2 linked regions of the Lepisosteus oculatus genome follow. The protein of the gene in region 1 interacts with the protein of each later gene in a pairwise test. Links are inferred from orthologs where the notes say so. Each region holds a gene or a part of one and is shown on either strand. Other genes may lie near its edges.

The links.
Region 2: the proteins of lhx4 (region 1) and chchd2 interact in binary tests that used the Homo sapiens proteins (3 or more experiments, as listed by UniProt). The two-hybrid records come from large-scale screens. The link is inferred for Lepisosteus oculatus from reciprocal best matches to the Homo sapiens genes LHX4 and CHCHD2.

The regions. Positions count from the first base shown.
Region 1 is NC_090704.1:26,256,364-26,263,415, forward strand, and holds the start of lhx4 (LIM/homeobox protein Lhx4), read right to left. Parts: upstream 3,026-7,052; 5' UTR 2,801-3,025; coding exon 2,713-2,800; intron 1-2,712. UniProt on the Homo sapiens protein: May play a critical role in the development of respiratory control mechanisms and in the normal growth and maturation of the lung. Binds preferentially to methylated DNA.
Region 2 is NC_090721.1:5,755,693-5,763,370, reverse strand, and holds chchd2 (coiled-coil-helix-coiled-coil-helix domain-containing protein 2), read left to right. Parts: upstream 1-4,724; 5' UTR 4,725-4,833; coding exon 4,834-4,886; intron 4,887-5,438; coding exon 5,439-5,688; intron 5,689-6,320; coding exon 6,321-6,480; intron 6,481-6,852; coding exon 6,853-6,863; 3' UTR 6,864-7,177; downstream 7,178-7,678. Other genes in the region: bicdl2l (bicaudal-D-related protein 2-like), read right to left, coding at 1-40, 2,151-2,399. UniProt on the Homo sapiens protein: Transcription factor. Binds to the oxygen responsive element of COX4I2 and activates its transcription under hypoxia conditions (4% oxygen), as well as normoxia conditions (20% oxygen).

The DNA of each region.
Region 1 (7,052 bases):
TCATGTTTACAACCTTACTGTTATTGTACCATATCTTATTGACCTGAGTAGTTGTGCAGTTGTTAGTGGAAAAGTTACTGACTTCAGAGAGGTGGACACAAGCAGATGCTTGTGGAAAATGGGATCTTAATATGCACGACATTTGGAATTAAATAATGGGGTTTACAAATCAGTGGCCTGAAAACTGGCAATGCCAGTTTACAAAATCAGGTCATTAATCTCTGGTGCATGAGCCTGTACCTCTGTTCCAGTGAACTTAGCCTTTACCCAAGGCCAAAGAAAAGATGGAGGGCTTTCAGACTGAACCTTGCATAGAGTATGCTTACATAATACACAATCGTGATGAATGCCTGTGTTGTTGATGATAATGATGATAATATCCAGGAAAAAAAACATTTACAATGAGCTTCTGGCCTATGCCAGTGTTGTTCAGAATACAAAATCATCAAAGAAAGAAAAGGGTACCCAAAGTCAGTAGTTCTTCTTGCAATAAATGTACAGTAGTAAAATAAATCCCCATTAAAACTATAGAACTTACTGCAAAAATGAGGTATAACTACCACAAATACTTTCCTCTGAATCATACAAGGAACCATCCATTGGACATCACCTATACAAGCAGATACTAACTGAAATTTCAATAACCTTTAACACACCCATTTGATAAAAGATATCTTTAAATAAGAACAATTAAGATATCAGACAAACCACTTAATCCATTTACCGTTGCTTCTTTCTCCGCTTACTGGAAATTTTTAAACAGGTTTTGAAAGGCTTAAAGCCAATTGGAATCCTATTAACCAGCAAGAAAAAGTCAGGCACTGGAGAGCTGCTCAGAAGGCACTGCTCGTGTTTTGAGCCTGTTGTCTGGCGTCGTAAACACCAATGAATGAGATGTAGCATCTGTACGATTTTGTTTGCGAGGTGTCCCATGCTGTTGCAATGTGGTCATTTGCTTACAAAAAGGATCTCTTTTTTTTTAAATGGCGTCAAATAAAGTAACTGTAAAAGTAAATTTGCAGGCAATACCACTTGAATCAAATTTTAGATTGTAAATTGTTATTGACAAGACTATGCAAAATAACGCTTGTGAACATTAGGCAGGGCTATAAGTTAAATATGTATTACAGGTATACTGTATAGTGTATAACATTACCCCAAGCCAATAAACATTTTAGTAGTAAAGCAGTCGGATAAGTTTGAGTACCGTTCAGGAGTCCCTTGAAAATGACGCTTAGTTTGGATGTACAGACTGCTTCTGTAAAATACCCCCCAGTATAAATGTAAGTCACTTTGAATAAAAGCAGCGGGCAGTAAGGACCAATAAAGTTGACAAGATCATCTGAGTTGAGACCTTGGCTGACTGTTGCAATAAAACAGAGCAGTGTGCACCAAATAATTTCTCATGGAAGTTTTTTGGACATTGCAAGCATTGGGTTACTCCCAAGGCCTCTGCAAAGATGAGAGCTCAAAATTAACACCAGTCAAAGGAAGTAGGTGTTCAGCTCCTAGCAGATCTTCACTGAGCGTCCAGCCAAATGCAAAGCCTGTCTGGTCATAGGTTATGAACCATGGATTCACACTGGGACCCCAAGCCAACTCAAGAGTAAAAAAATCGTTAAGTGTGAGAATTATATATTTTTCAGTAACAAAATAGCTTGGCATGGAGAATACTGTTTTCTTCTTGTACAATCTGTCCTATTTATCTTTTAAGATTCCATAGTGCTTAAAGATCGGAACTCACTCACCTCAATATTGATTTTTTTTATTTCTTACAGTCATAAATCATACTTGTTCCCTTGCAGAAAATGTGAATAGTGTTTTATGACTGGATGCTGGGAGTGTGCAATGTCAGGGACATGTACAATGCTAGCTGTGGAATTCTATTTCAATGTGGTTGTACTGTGTTGTCTGTCACAAAACAAAACTTCCTTCTCCTCTTCAGTTGACATTCTCCTAGCCTCAATGTGAGGTTTCCTTAAAATAATATATGAGACGGACTCGAGATTACCACACTGATCCCAAACCCCCATTCTTTTTTAATTTTGTTTCTTTGGACAATTTTATGGTTGCCTTTTCTTTTTCAGTGAAATACAGGTACCTAACAAAAAGCCCATTTTTGTCTTTACTGAAACATTTAAAATACAGCACATTACCAGTGAACCTTTTCCATTTAACATGCATCCTAACCAGGAGTAATTGATTACAGGTCAGTAACTACTCTGCATTTACATCCTAAACAGAAGCAAAGAAGTGCAACACTCACAGATCTAATTTTTGAAAACACATTGATTTAAAAATAGCACAAAGTCCAACAGTCCAGGAGATGATAAAGGCCACTTAACCTGGCTAATACATTGGACTGGACCTTGTACTACAGTATGTTTCAGTCGGTGAAGTTACTTTATCTTGCCTAACAAGCAAAAATAACAGTTCTTGTCTGGCCATCTTTACTTTTTTGGCTTGAGTGGTGGTGTTGCACTTTAATCTGTCTGTGTTATTTCTACCATTCTAAACCAAAAGAATTGCAGATGACACAGCTTGAAAGGCCACACAGAAAACAAGAAGGCTAAGTCTGGACATTCTTGGTGTGTTTCCTCGGCACACAGGTCATCATTGTGCAGACTGACAGATGTGAGGTACTGTACGCACTGCTGAAGCATAAGAACTTTGCTGAGTGAGAACTCACCGACCCAATCAGGCCAGACTCACCTTGATGGAGCTGCTCCTGCTTCTGCAGCCAAACCAGAAGGATTTCTTTGGGGATACCATGCTCCCCAGGATACAAAACAGAAGACATGTCCCTGCTGCCTGTTCCTGCAGCACCTACATGTACAGTACGTTGGCTCTGAAGGCTTTGTTCCCTCTCTGCTCTAATTCCGCGCGAGTTGTGACAGCGGTAACAGAGCCATTTTACAGCAGCACAGGTTACCTATTTAATCCAGTTTGAATCAGCAGTGGCCCTCCCCTCCTCTTGGCTCTCTCTCCTCTGCTAGGTCCTGTCAGGTCTGTTTATGCTCCAGGGATCAATGGTAATATATTCAAGTCTAGGACTGCCTAACAAACTGGGTAGCTGGGTATAACATTCTTGGTTTTCTATCGAGGTTAAAGCCTCAAGCCAGTACATGATTTTCTTTTAAAGCTACTCCTACCACATTTTACAGGGCATTGTAAAGAAGGCTGACAATTGATGTTTTGAAAGGCGTTTTTCTGGTCACATTCTGTCTACAAATCCAGCACATTTAATGACTGATGTCATTAAACACCAGGATTTGCTTTTGTGTGCTACAGATGTCTATACAGATGTACTAAACAGGTCTATTCAAACCCACTACACTGACTATTCAGAGTACATTAGTATGGTTTCTGGAACAATACTAAATATACCGTAGGTGAAATGCCAGCAGAGTTAACATTTTCTGTGCTACTTTTTTGGTTCGTGAAAGGAATAGTGTGTTCTCACATTCAATCAACGTACCTCGTTCGATGACTAAAAGCTAAATTCTTCATTTTATAAATTAGCACAGAATCTGTGATAGTGAGTTTACTAGACTAGTTCAGAAGAGGATGGTAGCACACTGAGTTGTTTCTGCAGATTGTCATTTGGCATGGAAAATGCCCATATAGCAAATCCTGTACTGGTTGAAAATTGTTTTCTACGCAGATCACACAGCAGTCTGCACTAGAAAGATGACATATCTAGTTCTGCTCTGAAGAGCATTTAGTGAACCTTTCAGGGCCGTGCCTATACTAGACCAATCTCTCAAAAGTGGGAACACCTGGACTCAATGGAAGAAGGAACTAGACTCCCATGATATCCCATGCTGTGAAGGTTTATTATTCTTGAGAGAGCCTGTAACAAGTGTGCTTTTTACCAAACCTGTGCTAAAGAAAGAGTAAAAGAGATCTATAAAAGCTTTGATGCCTTTGACTAATGCAAGACATAAGTTAAAAGGAATATAGTTTTTTCTTTTGTTGACAGTTTATAACAGATTTAAAGGCTGATGAACCTTCATTGTAGTATGTTAATGATACAACCAAACTCCACTGTAATTTATTTCTAGAGCAACATTTTTACAGTACCTTTGACTGGCCGAATTTGTTATAACTATGTATTCAGGGTTAAAAAATGGTTACATGTAGAGGTTCTTTCTGGTAGCAGAAAAGCCACCAGCTCTCAAAACAAAACTCTTGGAGGTTAGGGCTCCAGAATCACTGCTTGAATCTGACGAATATGTTCTTGTTTTGAAAGGTCATGTAAATAAAGGTAACGATAAAATAAAGGTTGGCTTTGGCTTATAAAGATTACTTTTAAGACTAGACAGGAAGATTGATAAATTGAGAATAAACCTCATAGAATTTAGTTACGAGAAAGCAGGCCACATCATTCTAGTGAATGGCAAAAAAAACATTTATTTTGAATAATTTATCTGCCTTCATAGAACAATCCTTATGGCTTTACTGGCCTTGAGGAGATTTAAACTGAAACCAGTGTGTGTAACTGGATCAGTGGCATTAGAGCTGGAATTAGATTTAAGGATGTGGCTATTGATTGATTGTTTTTTAAGCAGAGATGCCTTAACCCAACTTTAGTGCTTTTGGTTTGAACTACATTACAACTCGAGAGTGGATTTTGAAGTCTGCCTAGAAGACTAAATAATTATTTCCTTCAATACAGCTCTCAGTAAATGTTACAAAAATTAAGATGACATAAGGCTGGGTCCCCTTCAATAAAGAAACCTTAGGACATCCTGAATTTAATTTTAATTTTTTTATTTCTATTCTATTGCAACTGAACCTTCATTTTTCTACTCTAATTAATCTTTATCCTTTCTGTAAAGTTTGTTTTGAGTTGTTGTATTGATTGTATTTTTTAATTGTTGTCAGCTGTGGGCTTTTGGTTTCAGATATATACTGGCTTTTAAAGGTTTAAAGATGCTCAGTAAATGCGGCATTTTATGCTAGGTGATTCTCAACCTGTTTAATAAATTGTTGCCTTACTAATCTATTGAAATAAATAGCTCAGTAAAAAAAATATATCATAAAGAGTCCAGGAATACAAATTGCCAGGGTAGTAATAAGGATTATTACAACCCTAGGTCTGGGGAACATTGCTTTCAGACCATGTTTGGAATATTATAAAACTAAAACATGCTGTGCCTTTCCATGACCTTAAACCAACATTTTCTTCCTTTATGTAGATCACTTTAAAATCACTTACAGAACTTAAAATCAGGTTTCTCACATTACCATTTCGTTTTATAGTATTGTTACATAACATGTTTCAGTTATGTACATATCTTTATCTAGTGGTCTTTCAGAATATTTTTCTGATTGTTAACAAGAATGTAACCAGAATCCAAATGTCTACCTCTTGGCATGCGGTTTTCTTTCATTTTTATTTCATCCAGCCTTTTTAATACACAAACTACAGTACAGTATGTCAGCAGATTTCAGCACCATTGTATGATGGACAGCTCCCAATCTGCCTGTTTTTCAAGTACAGTAATCTGTGTTAATATCTGAGGAATGTTACATGACAATAAAGGGCTTCAGTACATCACCCAACATTCTCCATCTATTTCTCTCTTCTAGATGTTGAAATAATGTCACACGGATTCTCTTCTAGACAATGTTCTTGTGACTGTGCCAATAGGTGCTCACACTAATTTTTGCCAGGGCTGGCCCAAATAAGAATGTGGCTACAAGTCTTTCTTTCATTATCTTTTTTATTGCACAATTAATCAGTTAGTTATCTAGGGAGAACACCAACATTTTATGCTGTAGTGTCGAATAAAAGCAAAGCTATAAGTCTGTTAATTTGTGGATTAAGAAAAAAAACATAGATTTATATCCTCATTTATAAATGATTGGAATTCCCATCTGATATATATGGTTATTTTATTCTTGCCACTTTGCTGTAAACCTGTTTTATAACCAACAGAAGCCTAAATGTTTAAATTTTACTGTTTTCGGTGCACTCTTCCTGCCAGATCATCTTGGTTATAAAAGGAGGGCATTCCCATCTATCCTGTTAATTAGTTGACCTGAGGATTTTATTTAACCATTTCTTAAATTAAGTCAGGGTATCTGCTTCAACAACAGGTCTGGCTAGCTTTTCCTATACTCCCATGACTTAGTATCGTCTCCATTGCCCAGTCTTGCTAGCGAATAAAACCATCCTCCTGTTCTCACCATCAGCTAGCGTCTTTGGATTGTTGCTCCCATGGAGAATTCCTTGCTACCACACTTTCTTGTTCCAGTTCTACATCTGTCCATAAGAACAATTTTTGCAAATGAACGGAACCCACTTTTCCATTCATAACACTGTTATGTTAAGAACATAAGAATTAGGTACAAATAAAAGGAGTCATTCATTCAGCCTATCTTGTGCAGGTGGTAGTTAGGCATTTATTAAACAAAGCCAGGGTACTGGTTTCAACAACGTGGTTGGTTAGCTTGTTCCATTCTCCCCCAACCCTTTATGAAAGATGTACCCCCAGTTGTTGTTCTTAAATGGACTTCCAAGTAGTGTCCACTTGTAACCTTTGGTCTGTGTTTCACAGTGCGATCTGAAGGAGTCGGTTGGGTTGACTGTGTTGGAAGTCTTTAAGGATGCTGAATATTTCCATCATATTCTTGACTGCTGAGCCTGTAAAAAGGTTCAGTTTAGGTAACATAGTCTTAGTATTGGTTAAAGTAAATCACAGTCTCAAACTAACCTCACGAAATGAAATTTTGTGGCTGCAAATAAAAGCACAAACTAAAACCACTGCATCTGAAGATTCCTGGCAGATTGTGAATCCTTCTTGAGAAGGAGAGGTTGAGGGCTTGGTGGCATAGCAGCATGATCCAGAGGTACAGTACATTAGAGACACGCCTACAAGGACTCTTACCACAGGGCACTTCCAGAACATGTGTAAGAAGGTAGCAGATACGTTAATGGAAATAAACAGAGATGGTTGGTGATAATCATCTGGATACCCTGCTTTGGTGTTGCTTAAATTCTGTGTGCAGGTTTAAGATGGATATACAGTACTAAGTTTTAGGAA
Region 2 (7,678 bases), on another chromosome or scaffold:
CCAGCCTCACCTGCAGCTCATGTCTGCCCTGCTCCAGCTCCTGGCGGGGGGTAGACACAGACCAACAACCGGCTGAGGCACACTGGTCAGCTTGGCCAGAAAGCAGGAACTTAGGGGTTTCAAATGCTTCCAGTTTGCTCCTTTATCTTCAATATGGTAAAAACAGAGCACGATTCCAAATGGAGACTGGGCTGGACAGACTTCAAAGAAGTCATTATAAGTTTATCATATTGTGATTTGTAAAGAAAAATCACAAACGAGACTCAGACAGACTATGTTTGTGATGACTTGTTTGCTGAAGATTTTTTCTTTCACATGGTCCAGATTAGAAGGCTGTCAAAGGAGGACAATGCTGTCTCACTCTCCACACGATCGTATCATATGTACTGTTAAAACACGTGGGACATTTCCTGTGAAATATTTACCTGATTAGTTAAATACAAAAGTATTTAAAGGGAGAGCTCAAACTGCAAAGACATTTTCACAGTTTGGAATGAGCAGCCTTCTTCAAACACTTTGTAAAACATAGAGATTTGGCTCAAATTCAATATTCATTTTAAGATCTGTTGTTAGACTTAGATATCTGATTTTTGCACTTTACTACTGAATAAAACAGTCCGTTTTTTACATTAAGACCTAAGAAGGTTCTACAACAACACTTAACACTATTTGATCATTATTCCTGTTATGCCCTGTTTTGTGAGCAGCATCAGGGAATAAGAAGATAATGTCATTTATCAAAGAAAGATTACTTTTCACCTAGACACTAGACTAGACACGTCTCTCAGGCGAAGTGCTCACCACTCTCAGCAATTTCCTCCTGAGACGTTCAATAAGACCATGTCACAAAAAAATATAAATTGGCACATAACGAATGTAGGTGCGCTTGGTCAGCGGCGCGACATAAATACTGTACATAACGGTAAAAAAACAGTTTTTTCCCTCATAGATTAACTTCACCAGAAACAATACAAAAACAACTATGTACAATAGCTCAATAAGAGTGAGAAATACAAAGGCTTTTCTGTCTGATCGTGACGTTCACTGCTGCTTATCGTGCAAAGTCCCAACTACAAGGATTCATAAAATGAAGAATGTATTTGAATTGCCTCTCTCGGGGTGGTATATTTATGCCCTTGTTAAGCTGTATTTCACTCCCCTGGCTGCACCGAAATCTCCAGAAAACTCGTTTAAGTACCACAGGTATTTACGGTGAACAAGTGCCTCTATAACTTACGGCTTTTGGTTGTTCCACGAAGAACAGGGAACGTCTATACTTTGAGTTCCCAGCGATGCGGTTTTCTGCACTCTGGTTTCTAGGCAATTCACCCAGAGATGGCATGCTCCCAAGATCACAGAGAAGGGTCACTATCAACAAGTTATTTAATGTCCCTTCTTTTATCTGCGGGATAGCGGAAGCGTGATTCATCTGCAGATGAAACAATCCAAGCACTAGCCTAACTTTTCCATCACCCATCGCTCTGACGCACCAGGTACGAGCATTAAAACATGATGCCTAATCCATTGCCATCGAAAAGAACATTATTTTAGCACCGTTACCATTTTCGTGTGGACTTGTTTTATATAGAAAATATTAGACAAAATCCAAACTGTAAACACCTGTCAAAAACTATGTTTTTATTCCCGTTCCAGAAAAGTTGAAGAAGCGAAGGACCCCTCATTATTAAAAAAAGAAGGGGGTTTATTATATGCATTCAACCCGATGTTGGACATAGGTATATTGTCACAGTAATTGACATGTATTTAATATCGGATAATGCAACATAGGAGTATCAGCTCTGAGGTTAAAGAATGTAATAATTGGTCAGCTTAAAGCACTTAAAATGGCAAACACAAAATGCCAACAAATAATTGTAAAAAAAAACTAATTAAAAACCCGTACCGCACCATGCTGGTTCTGGAATGTGTAAATCTAAAATGCTTTGTACATAAACGTGACTCACTGTTTCTTAACACTAAAATTAGTTCAGTGGGGGTTTTGTTTCTTTGTTATTTTAACTGAGGCTAGTGGAAAACCAGACGGCACACACAGTAACGGTATATTCGCAGCGTGTGTGCAGGCAAAGCGGGGTGACAGGATAACCACAGACGGTTCCATACACCAGACTGCGTTGTGTTCATGCCCTTACCTCTAATCTGTCCGCGTACTTCTCATGAAGTTTTTCGTTCTGTTCTTTGAGTTCGCCGTTTTCCCGAAGAAGCGCATTCCCCAGCTCGGCAGCCAGAATCAAATCCTCTTCCTTTTGTTTCAGAGTCACCAAAAGTTCGCTGGGGTCCTGACAGCCGGACAGATCTTCCGAGTCAAAATCGAAAGAATAAAACTCTTCCTCCGGTTCTAACGCGTGTGACTTCACTCCCCATCCATCCAATCGACTCATGACTTTTAATTAAAACTAAAAAAAAAAGATAACAAAAACTAAGTCAGTCTTAAAAGTGCATAAGAGACGCGGATTTTGTACTGCCTTTCAAGCAAAGTTCAAAAAACACCATCCATACATATAGTACATAGGCTTTAACCAGGCTGTGAGTCGAGTGTGCGGTCGACTGACGCCTACTGTAGGTTTGTTGATCACCCAGAGTGGATCTGAAAGGGAAAAAAGTGGGCAGGTCCTTTATAATTCTCAGGTGACTTCACTAGAGACAAAACCTGGAGAGGACACGCCGCGTCACCAAGCAACAGATGGCAATACGAGAAGCAATCTTTCCTATCATAAAAAACGATGGGGGTTTCATAATTGGCGTTTCAGATTGAGCAAATTCAGAGCTCTCTCACTCCGAACCGATATGAAACCCGGGAGACGGGCTTTTGTTGCTTTGGGTGGGAATCAGGTGCTGGTGAGAGATTGAAAAATTGAAATTAGTAGGACTTTCAGGGAGCAATTTAAAAATGCCAGAGGCGCCATCAAAAAGCCCGGCGTCTCAAAATTGCATTTGTGTTCAGTTCAGTATTAAAACCCACTCCATAAGGCCCTTTCAGCAACTTTTCAGAATCCCAGCTGGTTTTCAGGTGAATATTATCATGCATTCTGTTCGTGTAACGCTATGAAATCCCTTTCAAACGAATCATATAGACGGACTGATAACTATTATAATACAATATTAATTAATAAAGGTTTTCAATGTTAACTAAATGGACCATGTAATCCGATTTATACTGTAGAATACCAGATTGTGTAATTCTACTTGTGTGGAAGGGGGTGTCTATTGATCCAACACAGTAACAATTATGTAACTAAGGCATAAACTAACGTTTGCTATTCCAAAACATGCAAAAGGTAAATATACATATATCATAAATAAATCAAATCACATCCAGAGGAATATGTGTGCAGAAATAAGAACTTCCCTTTTTACCCCCAAAAATTAACAAAGCATTTGGGTTTTTGTGTTTAAGATATTGACTCACCTCTGCCTGAAACCCCTTGTCGGCCAGTTATTTTCTGACACATGACGCCTGATTTGAGCTGTGTCTGTGAGGGCATCCTGAGTGCACATTGGGAAACGTGTCTCAGTGCTGACATGTGATACATCAATGTCACTTTTCTTTTGGTAACATCTGACTTATGTATTACACTGCTGATTGCTTCACATTTGTTCAAGAAACTGAACCCAGTCTTTAATGCCACGACTTTTAACATCACATTTTGCTGAGCAACACAGAAACCCTACAGATTCAATATCTTTGTCATTCTGTGTCATACCTACACAACCAAAGTTGAACCGCTTATTGCACAAATTTTGGTTTGGTCAGGAGGGGAGTTAGACCACTCCCTGTCCATCGCTGCACAGTCCCAGTCTGGGAATGGGAGGTGCTCTATAAACCCCAGCAGCTTTGGCAGAGACACTTATCTGACAAAAACAAGGTGATTTTCTATTAGCTGAGGGTCTGTGCAATAGATTCCATCCACCTTTGGAGAGGCACAAATTTTCCCCATTCAATTCTGCACTGCAGTTTTTCTAAAGGTGATCCACCCAGACCAACAATATTAATAAAGACTTAAAACGGAATGAAGAAGGTTGATTTGCTATTGGCTGACTGTCTTAACATTGTATGTTTCACCACTTTTGATGGTGCAAAAAATGTTTTTGTCCCTGGTTATAGTTTTAAAAACGGATTGAATTTAAATATAATAAAGGATTTGATTTAATTACAAATTTCAGATACAGCTCCTTTAAAAGCTTGCATCTTAAAACCTTTTTCATTGAACAGAAAAAAAAACATTTCTATGAAAAAAATATAGCAATGACAATTTTTACAGTAGTATAAATGGAAGAAAGGCGCTGTAAACTCAATAAAAACTATTCCAATAATCTTAGATTTGTCAAACTTGGAGATTAGTGGAGGCGATTTTAAATTAAAAAAGGACCCTCTCAAACTTTAGCTGAATGTTCAGGGAATTGCAGTTAACCGTGAAGAAATAACAAAGCAGGTGTTTCAGCTGCTTGTCACTTCGCTTAATGTTGCTATACTCATACGCTACTGCGGTGGCTGAAAGTCTTTTATTTTTAATGACGTTCGGCTATTTACATACACTTCCGGATCATTCGTGTCGCTCAGTGTAGCTTTTTCTTATTTAAACACCAGAAATACAAAAATGGAGACAGAATACTGAAATATATACAGACTAGTTTCACCATACTCGCACTGGAGCGCGTCTCTGCTACCGGAAGTCGGGAGTGTTACAATATGATGTAACACTGGGGACATTTCCGGATCGGCTTTTAGTTAACACAAGGTCGCTCTCAAGCAGAGAGACAGGAGAGGATCGGCTTGTTTCTGACATAGAGATCTGTTTTATCTTTTAGAACAAAATGCCAAGCAGAGGCAGTAGAAGCAGGATGTCTAGAGTACCACCTCCGGCCAGGTAAGAGAAAATAATTACAGAAGTGTACCTCATAATACTTTTTGATCATTTTCGTGCGCAGCGTGGCCTAGCGAGTAGATTGCACTGTACTTTTCTGCCGTGAAATACCCGTAGGTATGTCCAGCCGGAAGTTTCTAGAATAATCTGCTTGTTTCTTAAATATAAGCTACCGTGTTAAAAGATGTCGTCTCTGTATAAGAACGGTGCCTTATTCTGAACAGTTAAAAGGGTGACTGATGCGTTTTGCGAATACTGTGAAATGCATTAGTTAAGTTAGGTAATGCACACGGTGTTTAATCTCTCATATAATTTAGTATTGCAAGAGCTATTTATAATTAAGTCACAATTGCAAATATTAAGTTTACGTAAGAGATTTAGCAGTGCAGTTTGATTCAGGAGTAACTTGTTTTGGATTATATATATAAAAAAAAAACATTTGTTAGACCTTGAGCTTTCAGAACAGAAGTGGCGAGCCAGGCTTGAAGATAAATAAGAGATGAATGTGTGCTTGGCACTCTGTCGACCAGGGTAATGCTCTCTGTCTCCGCACAGCCGGGCTCCACCAAGACCGATGGCCAGGGCTGCCCCACCCCCCTCCTCCCTGCCTGCCCACCCGCCTCCCTCTGCCATGGCCGCCCCCTCCGCAGCCCCCCGACAGCCCGGGATGTTTGCCCAGATGGCGACCACAGCAGCCGGCGTGGCAGTGGGCTCTGCTGTCGGGCACACACTTGGCCATGCCATGACAGGGGGCTTCGGTGGCGGGGCAGCTGCAGAACCAGGCAGGGCCGATATCACCTATCAGGTAAGCGCTTCATGACCGGATTGTAACTCTGAGCTGTGAGTGTAAACCTACTCAGGGATGTATAAAATGAACCAGTGTTTTTTTTTGTGCAAAACATGCTGATCTGTTACTCTTGCAAAATAACTGTGCTGTGCCCAGAAATGCCACACAGTGGTGGTGGGGGGGGATGGGTGTAGGCCCTCTCCTCTGATCTACCCACCTTAAAGCTGTTCCTCTTTTTTCACATCACGGGCTCCACAGCCCCCTGCCAGAGACTTGGTGCTGATTACAGGGGCGCCCGACAGCACTGCTTGCCTCTGAGCACAAGCGAGGTTGTGGGGGTCGCTGTGTCACTGAGAAAAGAGGTATCTCTGGCCAACTAATCCCACCCTACCCCGGCTGGTGCTCAGCCATCGCTTGTGAAATACCATTCCCAGTCAGGTACTGACGTGGGCCAAGCTCGAACCCGCTCTTCATTCAAAGGTGCCCTTTAAGCTCTGCACTCAAGGATTCGGACTGCCTGTTTGTGGTCTAGCCTGTGAGTAACTGTACCTAGCCCGGATAAGGGTGATTGCCTCTAGGCAAAAGGTCTGGGATGTTTTGCTCACAGCTGTGGTTCAGCGAAACAGTTCATGTGTGCTTTGTGCCCACAGGAGCCTGCTCCCCCAGCTCAGCCCATGTACCAGCAGCAGGCTCAGCAGAACCCCTGCACGTATGAGCTGAGGCAGTTTATCGAGTGCGCGCAGACCCAGAGCGACCTCAAGCTCTGTGAGGGCTTCAGTGAGGTGCTGAAGCAATGCAAGTTCTCCAATGGTAAATCACTTTTAACTTTCCTAACTGGAACTCACAAAATAGATATTCTTTTTGACAAACCAGAATCTGGTACCTGACTAAGATCTCAGGTAGTAATGTAATCGTAACTGATGTGCCCTGCATTATCAACAGGGAGACTAGAGATGGAAACCCCATCCCACAAGTAGATAGACATGGTGACGCTTGTCAAAACCATTTAAAGGTTTTCTCCGCTTCAGTAATTCCAGTGAAGTGCCTTCACTTATTCTTACAGAGGATAGTTTGTATTAAATTAAAAAAATTCTAATGTCATTCTTTAGGCAAATAAACAAAATGCTGATGTAAAATTAAACTAAATATAATTTTAATATCTTCTTTATCTTCTTTTTTCAGGGTTGGCATGAAAATCCAGAGCAGTGAAATTAGTTCAATAATAAAAGGAATCCAGTGCACAGTAAATATTTAATAACGCTCAGTGTTGAGTTTTCTCTTGTAGACTGCCTTTATTTGATATGCAACAAATTCTGCTTATTTCAGGTTCTGGGATAATTGTCTTATAAAAATTGTATGCGTTTCAATTCCTTTGCAAATAAAACAAGAAACCTGTTTTTTTTTTCTGTGTCAATTTGTCTTTAAATACCATGTTGTCTTTGAAAATTGTGTACTTTTTGTCGTAGGGGAAACTTTATTTTTGATTCTGAATAAATGTTCCCAGTTATTTTTGTCTCCTTCTTGCTTTCTGATTGAGAAAAGCTGTAGTCTTTTCTGGGGAATAAAATGGCATTCCAAGGTATGAAGGACAGAGGCTGTGGTTTCATGTAGCTGATAGATTGAAGCACAGCCATCAAGAACCGCAAATGAGATTTTAGGAATTGTATTTTATACTAATGGTAATTCCTGACAGCTGTATTTTGTCGTACAGTAAGTAGCCTTTGGGCTTTATAAATGTCATGGTCTGCATTTGCGTCTCTCTAAACAAGGAACAGCTGACAGTAAATTAGGTAGATTGAATTCATAAAAATGAAGGGATGGCTACTACAACACACCATATTGACTGCTCATGTGTCAGTTACTTTGCATTGTTGCGATAATGATGTTTAATACCAGAAAACACAAGTTGAGGTTTTTGGCAAACTGTTGATGCCCATAACATATATATTTTACACAGCAGTGAAGGAATTAAAGCCAGTCCCTCACAACAGGGTTGGCATGAATCACA